2 linked regions of the Macaca mulatta genome follow. The protein of the gene in region 2 interacts with the protein of the main gene of each other region in a biochemical or structural test. Links are inferred from orthologs where the notes say so. Each region holds a gene or a part of one and is shown on either strand. Other genes may lie near its edges.

What was found. The genes of interacting proteins can lie anywhere in the genome.
Region 1: the proteins of BCL2L2 (region 2) and BIK interact in a biophysical measurement, tested with the Homo sapiens proteins (2 studies listed by BioGRID and IntAct, with this or other methods). The link is inferred for Macaca mulatta from reciprocal best matches to the Homo sapiens genes BCL2L2 and BIK.

The regions. Positions count from the first base shown.
Region 1 is NC_133415.1:8,364,512-8,371,917, forward strand, and holds the start of BIK (bcl-2-interacting killer), read right to left. Parts: upstream 4,525-7,406; 5' UTR 4,423-4,524; intron 4,357-4,422; exon of another isoform or gene 3,042-4,356; intron 624-3,041; exon of another isoform or gene 484-623; intron 241-483; exon of another isoform or gene 120-240; intron 1-119.
Region 2 is NC_133412.1:96,404,281-96,411,333, forward strand, and holds the start of BCL2L2 (bcl-2-like protein 2), read left to right. Parts: upstream 1-3,087; 5' UTR 3,088-3,321; intron 3,322-3,436; 5' UTR 3,437-3,524; intron 3,525-4,005; 5' UTR 4,006-4,013; coding exon 4,014-4,445; intron 4,446-5,064; coding exon 5,065-5,214; 3' UTR 5,215-7,053. UniProt on the Homo sapiens protein: Promotes cell survival. Blocks dexamethasone-induced apoptosis. Mediates survival of postmitotic Sertoli cells by suppressing death-promoting activity of BAX.

The sequences.
Region 1 (7,406 bases), on a different chromosome or scaffold from region 2:
CTTCCTCCCCACCCTCACCCGGACAGAATTAACTGCTCCTCATCTGTGTTGTCCCAGCACCTTGGGTAAACAGACCTGGATTGGGCACTCAGCCCATCAAGGTCTCATTAAATGTTTACCTGTGTGTCTGACCCAGCCGGCCGGGAACCTGCACGGCCCCAGCACAGAGCAAGGACCCAGTGAAAGCAGGTGAGAGGATGCGGACAGCCAGAGAAAGGCTTGAGAGTTCACTGCAAAATCCTGAGGATGAGGAAAGGGGTTAATCAAGCGCTCGGCTCACGACGGCAGGCTGTTCCTGGCTGGGAGACCCTGGACTAGACAGTATCACCTTCTGTTAAAGGACAGGAGGGAGAGCCCCATGGGCAGATGTAGCCCTGAGAAGGAGGTGAAACGCTGCATGCAGGGTATACATGCAGATCACAAGGTCAGAAGTTCGAGACCAACCTGGCCAACACTGTGAAACCCCATCTCTATTAAAAATACAAAAATTAGCCTGCCATGGTGGCACGTGCCTGTAATCCCAGCTACTCAGGAGGCTGAGGCAGGAGGATCACCTGAACCCGGGAGGCAGAGGTTGCAGTGAGCCGAGATCACGCCACTGCACTCCAGCCTGGGCGACAGAGCAAGACGCCATCTTGGGGATGGAGGGGGGTGTCAAGAATACTTGATCTTAAATATCCAAAACGACAGGGACCCTCACTCAAATAAACAAGTGAGCTTTTCTCTGTTTGCTGCACGGCTTTTCAGTCTGGGTAACTAGGTGCCAAGTTCTCTCCCACCCCCAGAAAAACAGGTTTACTACGCAGGGCCTGGCGAGGCCCAGTGGTGTTTTGTATTGTCACATCCTAATATTGACACTAGGAAAATCAGCTGCCCTTTGTGCCCGCCCCTCTCCTGCCTGCCTCAGGGCCAACAAGGAACTTAGGGGCCGGCCACTGATTTGCTCACATTCTATGTTTCTACCAGGGACCAGCCCCAACCAACCAGTGGCAGGACAAAGGGAGGCTAGGAAGTGATCACATGTGTCCAGTTCAGACACACTGCTGGCTTCCTGGTGACCAGCAACAGTAAGACTGGTGCGGAGGCCGGGCGTGGTGGCTCACGCTTGTAATCCCAGCACTTTGGGAGGCCGAGGTGGGCGGATCACAAGGTCAGGAGATCGAGACCATGGTGAAACCCCGTCTCTACTAAAAATAGAAAAAATTAGCCGGGCGCAGGGGCGGGCGCCTGTAGTCCCAGCTACTCGGGAGGCTGAGGCAGGAGAATGGCGTGAACCCGGGAGGCGGAGCTTGCAGTGAGCCGAGATTGCGCCACTGCACTCCAGCCTGGGTGACAGAGCGAGACTCCGTCTCAAAAAAAAAAAAAAAGACTGGTGCGGAGACTTCCTCCGTACTGCTCAAACTGTTCTGAGCACAGACGGCAGTCAAAATCTCATGGGATCCACCAAGTCTGCAGCAGGGGAAGCAAAAAGCCATCAATTGTCTACACATTTAATAGGTTCACTAAAAACAGGATGCTTTCCAGGGAGAGGCGAAAATACCACCAGCAGTGGTGTCAGCTTCAAGACTCACTGGCCAATCAAGCCCTTCCTCAATTACCTCCTTCCGTTTATTTGAGACGGGATCAGAAATTGGGAAAAAAAAAAAAAAAAGTACACTGTTCTTAGTAGTCTCTGGTTTCTTTGCAGCTCTGTGGCACAAGATATCATTTTTTTTTTTTTTCTGAGATGGAGTCTCATGTTAGCCCAGGCTGAGTGCAGTGAGTGGTGCCATCTCTGCTCACTGCAATCTCCACCTCCTGGGTTCAAGCAGTCCTCCCGCCTTGGCCTCCCAAAGTGCTGTGATTACAGGCAAGTCAAATGTGTAAGAAACTTGAGCCAGGCGAGGTGGCTCACGCATGTATTCCCAGCCATTGCACTCCAGCCTGGGCAACAAGAGTGAAACTCCGTCTCAAATAAAAAAAAAACTTACAATAACTAACATGTATGCAGCCCCTCTATCTAGCCATAGAGTACCTGAGCTGTAACAGACACTGGGGATCTACCATTTGATGCTTTTTTTTTCCTTTGACAGAGAGTCTCACTCTGTGGCCCAGGCTGGAGTGCAGTGGTATGATCTCAGCTCAGTGCAACCTCCGCCTCCCAGGGTCAAGCAGTTCTCCTGCCTCAGTCTCCCAAGTAGCTGGGATTACAGGCATACTCCAACACGCCTGGCTAATTTTTGCATTTTTAAAACAGACTGATTTTGCCATGTTGGCCAGGCTAGTTGCACAACTCCTGACCTCAGGTGATCCACCTCCCTCGGCCTCCCAAAGTGCTAGGATTACAGATGTCAGCCACCATGCCCAGCCTAATGCTCCTTTTTTTGAGACAGGGTCTCACTCTGTCTCCCCGGCTAGAGTGCAGTGGTGTGATCAGGGCTCACTGCAGCCTTAACCCCTCCAAGCTCAGGTAGTCCTCTGAACTCAGCCTCCTGGGTAGCTAGGAACAGAGGCACATGCCACCATGCCCAGTTAATTTTTTGCTTTTTTTGGTAGAGACAGGGTTTCACCATGTTACCCAGTCTGGTCTCAATCTACTGAGCTCAAGCAATCCTCCTGCCTCAGCCTCCCAAAGTGCTAGGATTACAGGCACGTGTCAAATGTGTGAGAATTTTAGTCTTAATATCCTTAAGACAATAATGATAATAATAATAATAGTAATAATAATAAAAGGGCCGGGCATGGGGCCACATCTGTAATCCCAGCACTTTGGGAGGCTGAGGCGGGTGGATCGCCTGAGGTCAGGAGGAGTTCGAGACTACCTTGGCCAACATGGTGAAATCCCGTCTCTACTAAAAATACAAAAAATTAGCTGGGTGTCGTGGTGGGCGCCTGTAATCCCAGCTACTAGGGAGGCTAAGGCAGGAGAATGGCTTGAACCCAGGAAGTGGAGGTTGCAGTGAGCCGAGATCACGCCCCTGCACTCCAGCCTGGGCAACAAAAGCAAAGCTCTTGTTTCAAAAAACAAAACAAAACAAAACAAAAAAACACCCAGACTGTGCCATTTCTGAGAACTTATTCCAAAGACATGCCCAAATTAAGTAGAAATCAGGGTAAGTCTTAACTACACGGAGGCTACTAACTTGAGTCGGGCTTTCTTCATCTGGGCAGAAACCTCAGAAATACATTTTGCAGAATGAACAGAAGGAACTGAGGTTCAGAGAGATGGAATAGCCCTTCGGAGGCCACAGGGCTGGAGAGTGTAAAGAGGTTTTGGCTTGGGTTCCATAAAGGGTCCTTGGCTTCCAGCTAGACAACCCTGGCATTTCTGTGCCTCCTGTGACTGAAATCTCTTGTTTCTCCACCTGGATAACGAGGCCTCCTGCTCCCAAGGACGGACAGATGTTAATAACTTCCCGGCGCTAGTGCCCACCAGACTCTGCCCCTCCTAATGTGGGGACATGAGGCAGACACCAACCTCCCTGGGAAGCTCGGGCTCCCAGGCCACAGTAAACACTGCGTTAAAACAGCAACAAAAATGTTACAGTAGTAAGAGCAACAACAACATCAACAACCACGTCCTACCCCACGAGTGGCTCATTCTGTAAAACTGACAATGAAGGGGCTTGAAAGCGATCGCATTTAGGAGGCCAGAGCCCAGACGACGACCAGCTCCGAACCCCACAAGCCTTGTCGTGACCGCGCCCCGCAGGCGGGGGGACCCCTCTCGGGTCACCCGCAGGGGCGCACCCCCAATTTACCTAACAAGGTCGCACGCCCCAGCCGGGCTCTAGTCCCCGCGACCAGTCCGGGGCGCACCTGTGCAGGGCGCATGGGCAGGTGTGGGCGGGCGGCTGCGCGCCGCTCCGGGTGCACGTTCCTGTTCCGGACTTTCTGGGCGTCCCGTTACGAAGCATTTCCTCGGCCCTTAGGTGCACAGCGCCTCTGGGAGCCGGTCCCAGCAGCACCGGGCACGACGCCATCTTCCCTCTTTTAAGGGCACCGGGGCTGTGCGGCAGCGGCCGTGGGCTGGCGGTGCCGCGCTGCGCTCTGGCCGGGTCCGCACGACCCCAGAGGTCGGAGTCCGGTGCCCGGAAGCCGCCCTCGAGGATGGTGCGAGGGCGATGGAGCGTCCGGCCATAGCGGTGAGACGCAGAGGAACCACCCCATTGCACAGGCGCGGAGACTGAGGCCCGCAGGGGCCGCGCCTGGCACGATCGGCCGTCGGGGACCTGGAGCCCTGGGCAGAAAGGGGATGTTTCGGAGCCGGAGTCCCGAGACGTCGCCCCACAAGGGACTCGCCAGCGACTTGCTGGGGCGGAAAAACCTGGGCACGGGTCCCCACACTTCCAGCCGCTCGGCACCCGGGCCGCGGCCTGGGCGCTAACCGCCGGGCTCGAGCTGGGTGGAGCGGCGGGCGGCAGCAGGGTCAGGGGCACTCACCTGGCGGCGGCGATGCTGGCAGCGTCTGTGAGCCACCGGAGAAGCTTCGTGTCTACTGCCCGGCTGCCGGCGCGGGACCTAATAGGTCCGGGCGCCCCGCCCCTCCCGCCCCGCCCGGGTCCCGCCCCGCCCCGGGAGCGGCCTCTCGCACCCCGAGCGCGGAATCCCGGACTGGGGTCTGAATGGCATTGGCAACAGAACCGCTACAAGTGCAGCCGGTTGGCTTGTTTACAGCCTCTCTGCCCCCTGCGGTTCTGCAAGCTTGTTTTGTCCCGTGCGTCGCTGTTTCCCCTGCGCCCAGCACGGGCTTGCAGTCGAGATCGATCCATTGACAGAATCTGGGTGTATAATCCAAGCCCTTTACACAGATGGCCTCCCTTCGAGCTCAAAGTACTCCTCGGTGCTTTTTTTCACGATCATTTTACCCACCGAGGCTCCAAGAGGACGAAATGACTTGCTAAATGACAGCGTGAAGCCAGCGTTCAAAAACGTGCTCCTTAGGCTGGCAGCTTCGGGACTTAGGTGTTTTTAAGCCTATTTCACGAATATGAAAACCGAGGTTCACACTTGGGTAGCAGCAGCATCCAGTGCTCCATACCCGAAGCCAGGGGGACTGCCCCTCCACTGCCGCCCGTCCGCAGCCTTCCAGCTGCAGCACCCACCCCCTGCCTTCCCCCTCCCGTCGGGGCTCCGGGTCCGCGAGAGGCAGGTCGGAACGGGAGGGATTGGGGGCAGGGGGCCCACGTGCAGACCTGGTGAGAAGGACCCCAAAGCCCCCGCGAGGGACAGAGAAATCAGGAAGGTTCCAGGCGGGGTGGGCTGGTGGCAGCCTGCCCCGCGGGGATGAGTAGTGCCTAACAGCGGCACTGGGGTATATTGGGGGTGGGAGAAGGCAGAGCGCTCTTGGAATAACAAAGTAACAATTGTCCTGCGCACAGCAAAGCTTGTTTACCTCTGTCTTGATCCCCTCAGAGATTAGGGGAGGGGCAAGGGAGGGGCATGGGAGGGGCAAGGGAGGGGCAGGGGAGGGGCAGGGGCTCCCCTCCCCCAGCTCTGTCGTTTGCTACCTGTTGGGTACCCTCACTCTGTTCTTCCCACCTGTAGGGTAATTACTTCCCCCTCAGTGTTCTCATCTGTGAAATGGACAACAGCACCTACCAAGAGCTGGGCTGTTGGGAGGACCAGAGGAGGTAAAGCCTGATAAAGTCTTCAGAGCCCCTCCCTCCTTCTGGGCCTTGGACCTTCTTTGCTTTTGTAGTTTGTTGTTGTTGTTGTTGTTGTTGTTGGTTGGTTTGTTTTTTGAGATGGAATATCACCCTGTTGCCCAGGCTGGAGTGCAGTAGCACAATCTCGGCTCACTGCAACCTCCTAACTTTCCTCCGTCTCCCAGGTTCAAGCAATCCTCCTGCCTTAACACCCCCTAGCAGCTGGGATTACAGGCATGAGCCACCATGCCCGGCTAATTTTTGTATTTTTAGTAGAGAAAGGGTTTCGCCATGTTGGCCATGCTGGTCTGGAACTCCTGACCTCGGGTAATCCAACGGCCTTGGCCTCCCAAAGTGCTGGGATTACAGGTGTGAGCCACCACGCCCAGCCCTGTAACAGTCTTTTCTTCTAGGGCCTCCCAACTACATAAACTCCAACCCCTACAAAGCAGCTTGCCCTGACTGTGGCTACAGTCAGAAGTGGGGAACCCTTCATAATGGGGGCTTCCCTCTGAATGCATTTTGCAGATGAAGAAACAGAGACTCAGGGTGGTAAAGCAATGACACGGGGTCTCATGGGTCCAGAAGACCTGATATGAGTGAGATGCTTGCAGAGGGGTCTTGAGACTGGAGGCACAGTGCCAGGCATGTAGGAGATGTTCAGTAAACATTAGTGGAACAGATGGAGAAAGAAGGACCGTTTGGGGACACTTTGGATGATTCAAGGGTGGAGTGGGTGAAAATACAGTACTTATTTACTTTGCAAAATCCCAAGATAATATGCTGATCCATAGGAGGAAGAGATAGCTGGAGGTGGTGGCTCATGCCTATAACCCCAGCACTTTGTGAGGCCAAGGCAGGTGGATCACCTGAGGTCAGGTGTTCAAGACCAGCCTGGCCAACATGACGAAACCCTGTCTCTATTAGAAATTTAAAAACTCGGCCAGGCGCAGTGGCTCGCACCTGTAATCCCAGCGCTTTGGGAGGCCGAGGCAGGCGGATCATCTGAGGTCAGGAGTTCGAGACCTGACCAACATGGAGATCAGGAGTTCGAGACATGACCAACATGCCTAACCAACATGGAGAAACCTTGTCTCTACCAAAAATACAAAAGTAGCTGGGCGTGGTGGCGCACGCCTGTAATCCCAGCTACTAGGGAGGCTGTAGCAGGAGAATCACTTGAACCCGGGAGGCAGAGATTGCCGTGAGCCGAGATTGCGCCATTGCACTCCAGCCTGGGCAACAAGAGTGAAACTCTATCTCAAGGAAAAAAAAAAATTCAAAAATTAGCCAGGCCACTATTCACAATAGCAAAGACTTGGAACCAACCCAAATGTCCATCAATGACAGACTGGATTAAGAAAATGTGGCTCATAGACACCATGGAATACTATGCAGCCATAAAAAAGGATGAGTTCGTGTCCTTTGTAGGGACATGGATGCAGCTGGAAACCATCATTCTCAGCAAACTATCGCAAGAATAGAAAACCAAACACTGCATGTTCTCACTCATAGGTGGGAATTTAACAATTAGAACATTTGGACACAGGGTGGGGAACATCATACACTGGGGCCTGTCATTGGGTGGGGGAAGGGGGAAGGGATAGCATTAGGAGATATATCTAATGTAAATGACAAGTTAGTGGGTGCAGCACACCAACATGGCACATGTATACATATGTAACAAACCTGCACGTTGTGCACATGTACCCTAGAACATAAAGTATAATAATGAAAAAAAAATTTATATATATATAAGATTAGCCAGGCATGGTGGCA
Region 2 (7,053 bases):
CCGCCTTGGCCTCCCAAATTGCTGGGATTACAGGCATGAGCCACCGCACCATACTCTGAACTCAGTGTTCTCGTCTATGAAAAAGTGGTGGAGTTCTGATTTCTAACCCAAGTGTAAGCCCTTTGAGGGCAGGGGCTTTGTCTGATTCATGGTGTTTTAGTATATGGTAGGCATTCAAATTATTGAATGAACAAGCACTCAACATCTCTCTTGGAGTTGGGACTGTGGAATTCCCAACTACTGGGAGCTTCCAAGAAGGACAGACCTGGCTTTTTCCTCTTTTTCTTTCTTTCTTTTTCTTTCTTTTTTTTTTTTTACATTAGTGGAAAAAAAAAAGTGAAGTGTTTTTAGTTTTTTTTTTTTCTAACTTTCCTACTGATCTTATATAGCACTTAATGTGCTAAGTACTGTTGTAAGGGTTTTGCAAATACTAACCCATGTAATACAACTATCAGATGAATAGAGACTATTATGCCTAGTTTAAAGATGAGAAAATTGAGGTAGGGGAGAGGACTCTTGCCCAGGGTTACATAGTTAATAATTGGGGAGGTGGGATCAGGACCTAAACAGTTTAGCTCTAGAGTCCACGCTCTTATCCACTTGGTTATATAAGATTAAAACATTTAACAATAATAGGTAACATTCTCAGAGTGTTAAAAGAGGGAATCTTAGGGTAGAAATGAAGTCTCTAAATTTAAAGCAGCAGGATAGTTTAACTGTAAAACCACAAGTGACTAAGTTGAAAATAAACCATAAGACACATGTTATCTTATTATTATACAACTCATTCCTGTTTACATGTATTCACACTAGTATTGACTGCAGCAATACTACTTAGCTAGGACTCATTTTTAAAGCAATATTGACTTTTTTATTTTATACATATATAGAATGCATGGATGTATTCTCTTCATATCATTATATATGATACAAAATATACAATGTATATATTGTATATATACACAATATAATATGTATATTATATATATGAATTAATGTATAATAAATCATACGTTACTTTGTATTACAAGCAAGCTGACCCAGGAGTTTGAGATCAGCCTGGGCAACATAATGAGATCCCCATCTCTATAAAAAATGAATTTAGCTAAGCATAGTGCAGCACACCTCTAGTCCCAGCTACTGGGGACACTGAGGTAGGAAGATTGCCTGAGCCTAGATGGTGGAAGCTGAAGTCAACACTGATTGTACCACTGCACTCCAGTTTAGGCCGTGGAGTGAGACCCCTGTCTCACAAACAAACAAACAAACCAGGAGTGCAAATGAAGACTTGGAGTAGGTTATTCTCTAAAGGGGGCAAGCTTGCTGGTGGCAGCCAGAATGATCAGGCTAAGAACAAAAAAGAAATAAGATTGGCTGAAAGGATACAGCCATAAAGGAGTGTAATAGGCTGTGTGTTTAGAATAGAGGAGAGAATTGAGTGTGGACATGTAAATGGTGTGGATTCAGACTATGAAAACAGTATTGACTATGCGAAGGCAAGAAGTGATCTTGAAGCAATAGTGTCAAAGTTACAGCATGAGATGGGAGTCCTAGCTTCTTGCATATCAGTATATGTCTTTGGGCAAATCACTTAACCTCTCCAAACCTCAATTTCCTCATTCATAGAATGAGGATAAAACAGCATAAGGATTAGTGACAGGATAAAATATACATGTAAAAAAAGCACAGCATCTAATAACTCCTCAAAATATGTTTTTACTTTTTTTTTTTTTTTGAGATAGAGTCTCGTTCTATCACCCAGTCTGGAGTGCAGTGGCATGATCTCAGCCTCCTGGTTTCAAGCGATTCTCATGCCTCAGCCTCCTGAGCAGCTGGGATTACAGGCTGGCTAATTTTTGTATTTTTAGTAGAGATGCGGTTTTGCCATGTTGGTCAGGCTGGTCTCAAACTCCTGGCCTCAAGTGATCCACCCGCCTTGGCCTCCGAAAGTGTTGGGATTACAGGTGTGAGCCACCAAACCCAGCTAGTTGTTACTATTATTGCTGCAGAAAAGACCTTACTTCTCAAGTGACCATAAGGGCAGATGGTAATACAGAGGCTTGGTTTGGAGGTAGAAGCAAAGGGTACTAGCAGAAGAGGAGAACTGGGTCGCCTCTTTCTGGCCTTTGGTTGGGTTGCTTTTTAAATGGAGCTGAAGAAAGTGCCAGATCCAAGAGCCCAGGGGGCTGGCTGTGAGTGCTCTCATGTGGATCAGCTGTGGTCAGATTGCTTCACACCTGTGACCCGCCCTGTATAAATATACTGCCATGTATAAATAATGGCCCCATGTATATGTAATCTGGAAGGATAAACATCAAGCTTAACAATGGCAACCTGCAGGGAGGGAAGTGGAATTGGGTGTGTATGTGTGTGTGTGTTTGAGAACCTGTATTTTATTACTCCATACCTCTTTATTGTTTGATTTTTTTCACAATGAGAATTAGTTCCTGTGTTGGGTAAAAAAAAAAGAAAAGAAAGAAAGAAAAAAAACCACTAAAATCAATCTGATTACAAAAGAAGATGAATTAAAGAAAAGTACCGGAAGAAACTGCTTGTGATCCAAGTCCTGGCTCCTTGATGCCTGGCTGAAGCCCAGCCCACAAAGACAACACTGGGTTAAAGGTCCTGGAGAAAAGATGGGAAAGGTTTGGTGTCTGTGTAGTGTCTGCTAGTCCCAAAAGGGTAAGGCACCTAGTAGACGGTTCCCAGCTTAATGGGAACTGCTCCTGTTTTCCAGGCACACAATTCAGGGCTGGAAAAGTTCAACAAGTGCATGGAACATCGGAAACCTCCTGGAAATGCTAAATTTGCCCCAAGATGTCCTGAAGTCCGGCATATTTCTCTGGGCAGCCTCGAGGCTCAGGAGCCCAGCCCAGCCCAGCCCACCGTGCCCTCTCAGGCAGCCCTTCACTGCCTTCAGCAGCCCTCCCTCTTCCTGAGTAGTGGCCCTTCGCAGGCCTGCGTCCCAGCCCCGCCCCTCTCTCTGGACGCATCTTTGGGCCCCATCATCACCCGGCGCCGGGCCCTCCCTCTGCCCCCCCTTTCTCCTCCCTCCTTCCTTCCCTCCCTTCCTCCCTCTCTCCCTCCCTCCCAGCTCCTGCACCAGGAAACGGCCCGGATCCCGGCAGCGGCCTGACCCGTGAGATCCCTAACCTGGCAGGCGGGCGGGGTTGGAGACTGGCTGAGGTGGGGGTAAGGGAGGAGTTGGGCCTTTGGGCTGCACTAGGGGGAACCGCGAATACAGATGGTGTCGGCAGGAAGCCCTTGGCCCTGGGTTTCCCGGGAGGACAGTCATTAAACATGGATTCGGCCACACAGCTGGTAGAGCGTTGGGGGCAGGGGCCCAGGCCCAGAGCTGCAACCCTAGCCGTTCCCAGGCCAGAACCTGATCCCTGGCCTTCCCCTCCTGGTTCTGATCTCCCCCTCCCCTTTCCAGAGCTCCACGCTGGCCGGGAGGATGAAAGGCCCCAGCTGGGGGCTCCTTGCCACCAGTGCTGTGTCTTAAGAGCTGCCATCCCGGCTGGGTGAGTGTCTCCTTCCTTTCTCTGTCTGGAGTAAACCATTGCGTCTCCCACCTTTCTCTTCGGCCCATCTGCTCCCCCTCATCTTGTGCCTCTGCCAACATCTTTATATCTTGCATTTGGGGAGGTCCTAAGCCCCTTCCTCTAGCCAAGGAGGTGTGGACTAAGGAGGCCCAGGGGTGGGAGGGTTGTAGGGGTGTCACAGAGCTGACGTTGTCTTATTATGAAAAGAATCTAAAGTATCTCTAAACAGAAAATGTACTTGTTTTAAATGTAATTTGGCATATTAGGAATGTAATGGCCAGCCCCTCACAGCCTGGTCTCATATCATGACTTAATTCCCTTGTTCTTGCCTCTCCCTGTCCAGTGAGCTCTGAGCATTTCTTCTCTCCTCCTCATCTCACTGGGTTGGTCAAACCAGAAATGCCCCTTCTGATTCTCTCTCCATATATTCATGCCAGTGTTTCATCCTTGCCTCTTATAGCTGCCCGGATGGCGACCCCAGCCTCGGCCCCAGACACACGGGCTCTGGTGGCAGACTTTGTAGGTTATAAGCTGAGGCAGAAGGGTTATGTCTGTGGAGCTGGCCCCGGGGAGGGCCCAGCAGCTGACCCGCTGCACCAAGCCATGCGGGCAGCTGGAGATGAGTTCGAGACCCGCTTCCGGCGCACCTTCTCTGATCTGGCGGCTCAGCTGCATGTGACCCCAGGCTCAGCACAGCAACGCTTCACCCAGGTCTCCGATGAACTTTTCCAAGGGGGCCCCAACTGGGGCCGCCTTGTAGCCTTCTTTGTCTTTGGGGCTGCACTGTGTGCTGAGAGTGTCAACAAGGAGATGGAACCACTGGTGGGACAAGTGCAGGAGTGGATGGTGGCCTACCTGGAGACGCGGCTGGCTGACTGGATCCACAGCAGTGGGGGCTGGGTAAGAAGCTTCTCAATTGCCGCTCTGCACATCCCTCTGCAAAGCTGGTTTCCAGGGGGAAGATGGGAGCTCTGATTGGAGACTGAGGCAGCTATGTTGGGAATGAGGTGCGGGGCTGAGTCTCCCCGTCTGGGTGGAATCAGATTGAGAGATGCCTGGACTCTGCACTCCAGGGCTGCCATGCAGTCAACACTGGATGGGCTCATGGTCCCAAGCAGAGGACAGAATCCACACCCAAGGAGTGCCTGCAGGGGAATGTTGTCAGGGACTTTTTGCACCTGAGTCATGGTGTGGGAGGTGGGGAGGACCAGGGATGGGTGGTGGTCAGGCAAGCCTTGGCAAAGGATGCTAGTTCTGAGCAGAATTTTTCGCCAAGGAAAGGATGGAATTCACTGGAGGCAGAGTGGGCGGCAAATGAACCAGTCTCTCAGGGTGGGGGTGCACCTGGGGGGATCAGAGGGGCTTGCAGCCAGAAGAGCTTTGACCAGAGAGGAGCTGGGTATGGGGTAGTGTTGGCAGTGGATGGAACTGGAACTCTTCCTCTCCTCTTCTGTCCACTCTTTCCTCTCCTGATATCCCTTTCTCCTTCTTTCTCTCCTACTTCCCTTCTCTCCCACAGGCGGAGTTCACAGCTCTATACGGGGACGGGGCCCTGGAGGAGGCGCGGCGTCTGCGGGAGGGGAACTGGGCATCAGTGAGGACAGTGCTGACGGGGGCCGTGGCACTGGGGGCCCTGGTAACTGTAGGGGCCTTTTTTGCTAGCAAGTGAAAGTCCAGGGCCAGGTGGGGCTAGGTGTGGCTGGGGGCCAGGAGAGCAGGAACAGAACAGAGAAATGCCCTTGGAAGAAATGGAGTTGGTGGATGGGTGGGCATGGAACAGGATGGGCAGGGGAAGGGTAGTGTGTGAGGCAGCTGAGTAGGCCAGGTAGGCGATTGGAAGAGTGAGCAGGACACATAGGTGAGGGAAATGTTTTGGCAAGTTTAGGGACGCAGGAGATGGAGTCGATCCAGGGCTGGGGGATGTGGGAGGGATCACACCTATAGGTGTGGGCACATGAAATGACCTGGAACTTGGTTTGCAGCCCTGAGGAAGGTGGACTTGCATAAGCAGTTGTATTCCATTAGATGAGTGGGATTTGGGGAACGCAGAAGGCACATCCTTTTGGAATGGAAGCTTGGGGGTTCTCAGGTGATAGGGAGAGGTGGCTGTAACAGTGGGCTGCTTGGACACACGTGTGCATGTGCACGCATGCTGGTGTGCATGCTGGGCTGCCTGGCAAATCTGGTGGTGGTGGGATTCCTCAAGGAGAAAACATTCCCTCTTGCAATGGCAAGAACTAGGGGCAGTTCTCTGTCCCTCCTCCCAACCCCTCCTTTCCCCTGCCCTTGTCCTGATGCCTCAAGGCTTAGAGAGAAACATTGTATCCAGACCGAGGGCTCTGCTGCTTCTCTCCAGAAAGTAATTGGCAAGGCTTTGAAGAGAAGAGCAGTTCTGCAGCTGGCCTTGTTCCTTCATCATCCCCCTTCCTTGTGCATCATGCACTTGCTGCTGCCTCCCGGGCTCTGATAGAAGGGCAGGGCTGTTGAGCCTGGATGGGTGGAGGCTTAGGTAGCTGGACCTGCCTGCCACCCTCCTCTCCCACTCAGGCACAATGGTGCCTAAAGTGTTTCCAATCTCTGGGACCTCTGTACCCAAACTGAAACTCTAAATTGGGGCCCTAACTAATTTTCCTTTCGAGGTTGTGGACATAAGTGCTGATCTTGAGTACAGTCTGGGTCCCACACTGTGTCTCAGTGAGACTGTTGATGCCTTGAGAGGACCATTTCAGCCCTGAATCCCATGGGTGTGAGGGTGATGGGCACTCCAGGACTGGCCTATGCTGTGTTGTGGGCTTTGGTTCGGCTTTATCAGGGGCCAGGCATATGGGTTCTAGAGTACCTACCATGACCTAGAAGCATTTATGATTTGAAGCCACACTGTTTGCATGGGTGTTACTTGTCTGTACCTCAGAGTCTGAGGATGTTAACTTTGGAACTCGCAGTCCTCTAGAACAGCTTCAGATTATGGCTTTTTCTTTTGAGGAAGAAATTATTCTCTCCAGTTGCATGCCCTGAGCCAGACCTCACTGCTGCACTTTCCAAGGTGCTAAGATTGCTGCTCTCCAATGCTAACTTTCTGACACAGTGCTCTAGAACCCTGCCTGTGGTCCTGAGCACTGATCAGCTTAGCTAGACCATGGTTGACTCTTCTTGGAGATTTTCACTTGGTCCTAGAATGTGGCAACGTAGTTGTGCTCGCTAGAATGTGGGACCAAATTGGCCTCAGGTGTTTAGTCCAGACTTCTGCTTTTGAGAGAGGGCTGCACTTTTTAATGGTATTTCTAGGGGAGGTGGTAGGCTGCATGTGCCACTTGGTCTTGTGAGTATGCTGACACCAGAAACTCAGAGCCAGCTTGTGGCAAGCAGTTGGGGTGGGGGGTCTCTGACTTGCTCAGGACAAACTAGGCCAGTGGTTTTCAAACTGCTTGGCAGAGCCCTGAAGTTTCCTAGGGGTTGCCTCAGGAGTCCTTGGGGAGATGAAGGGGGTGGGGAGTTGAGCAGGCTGGGC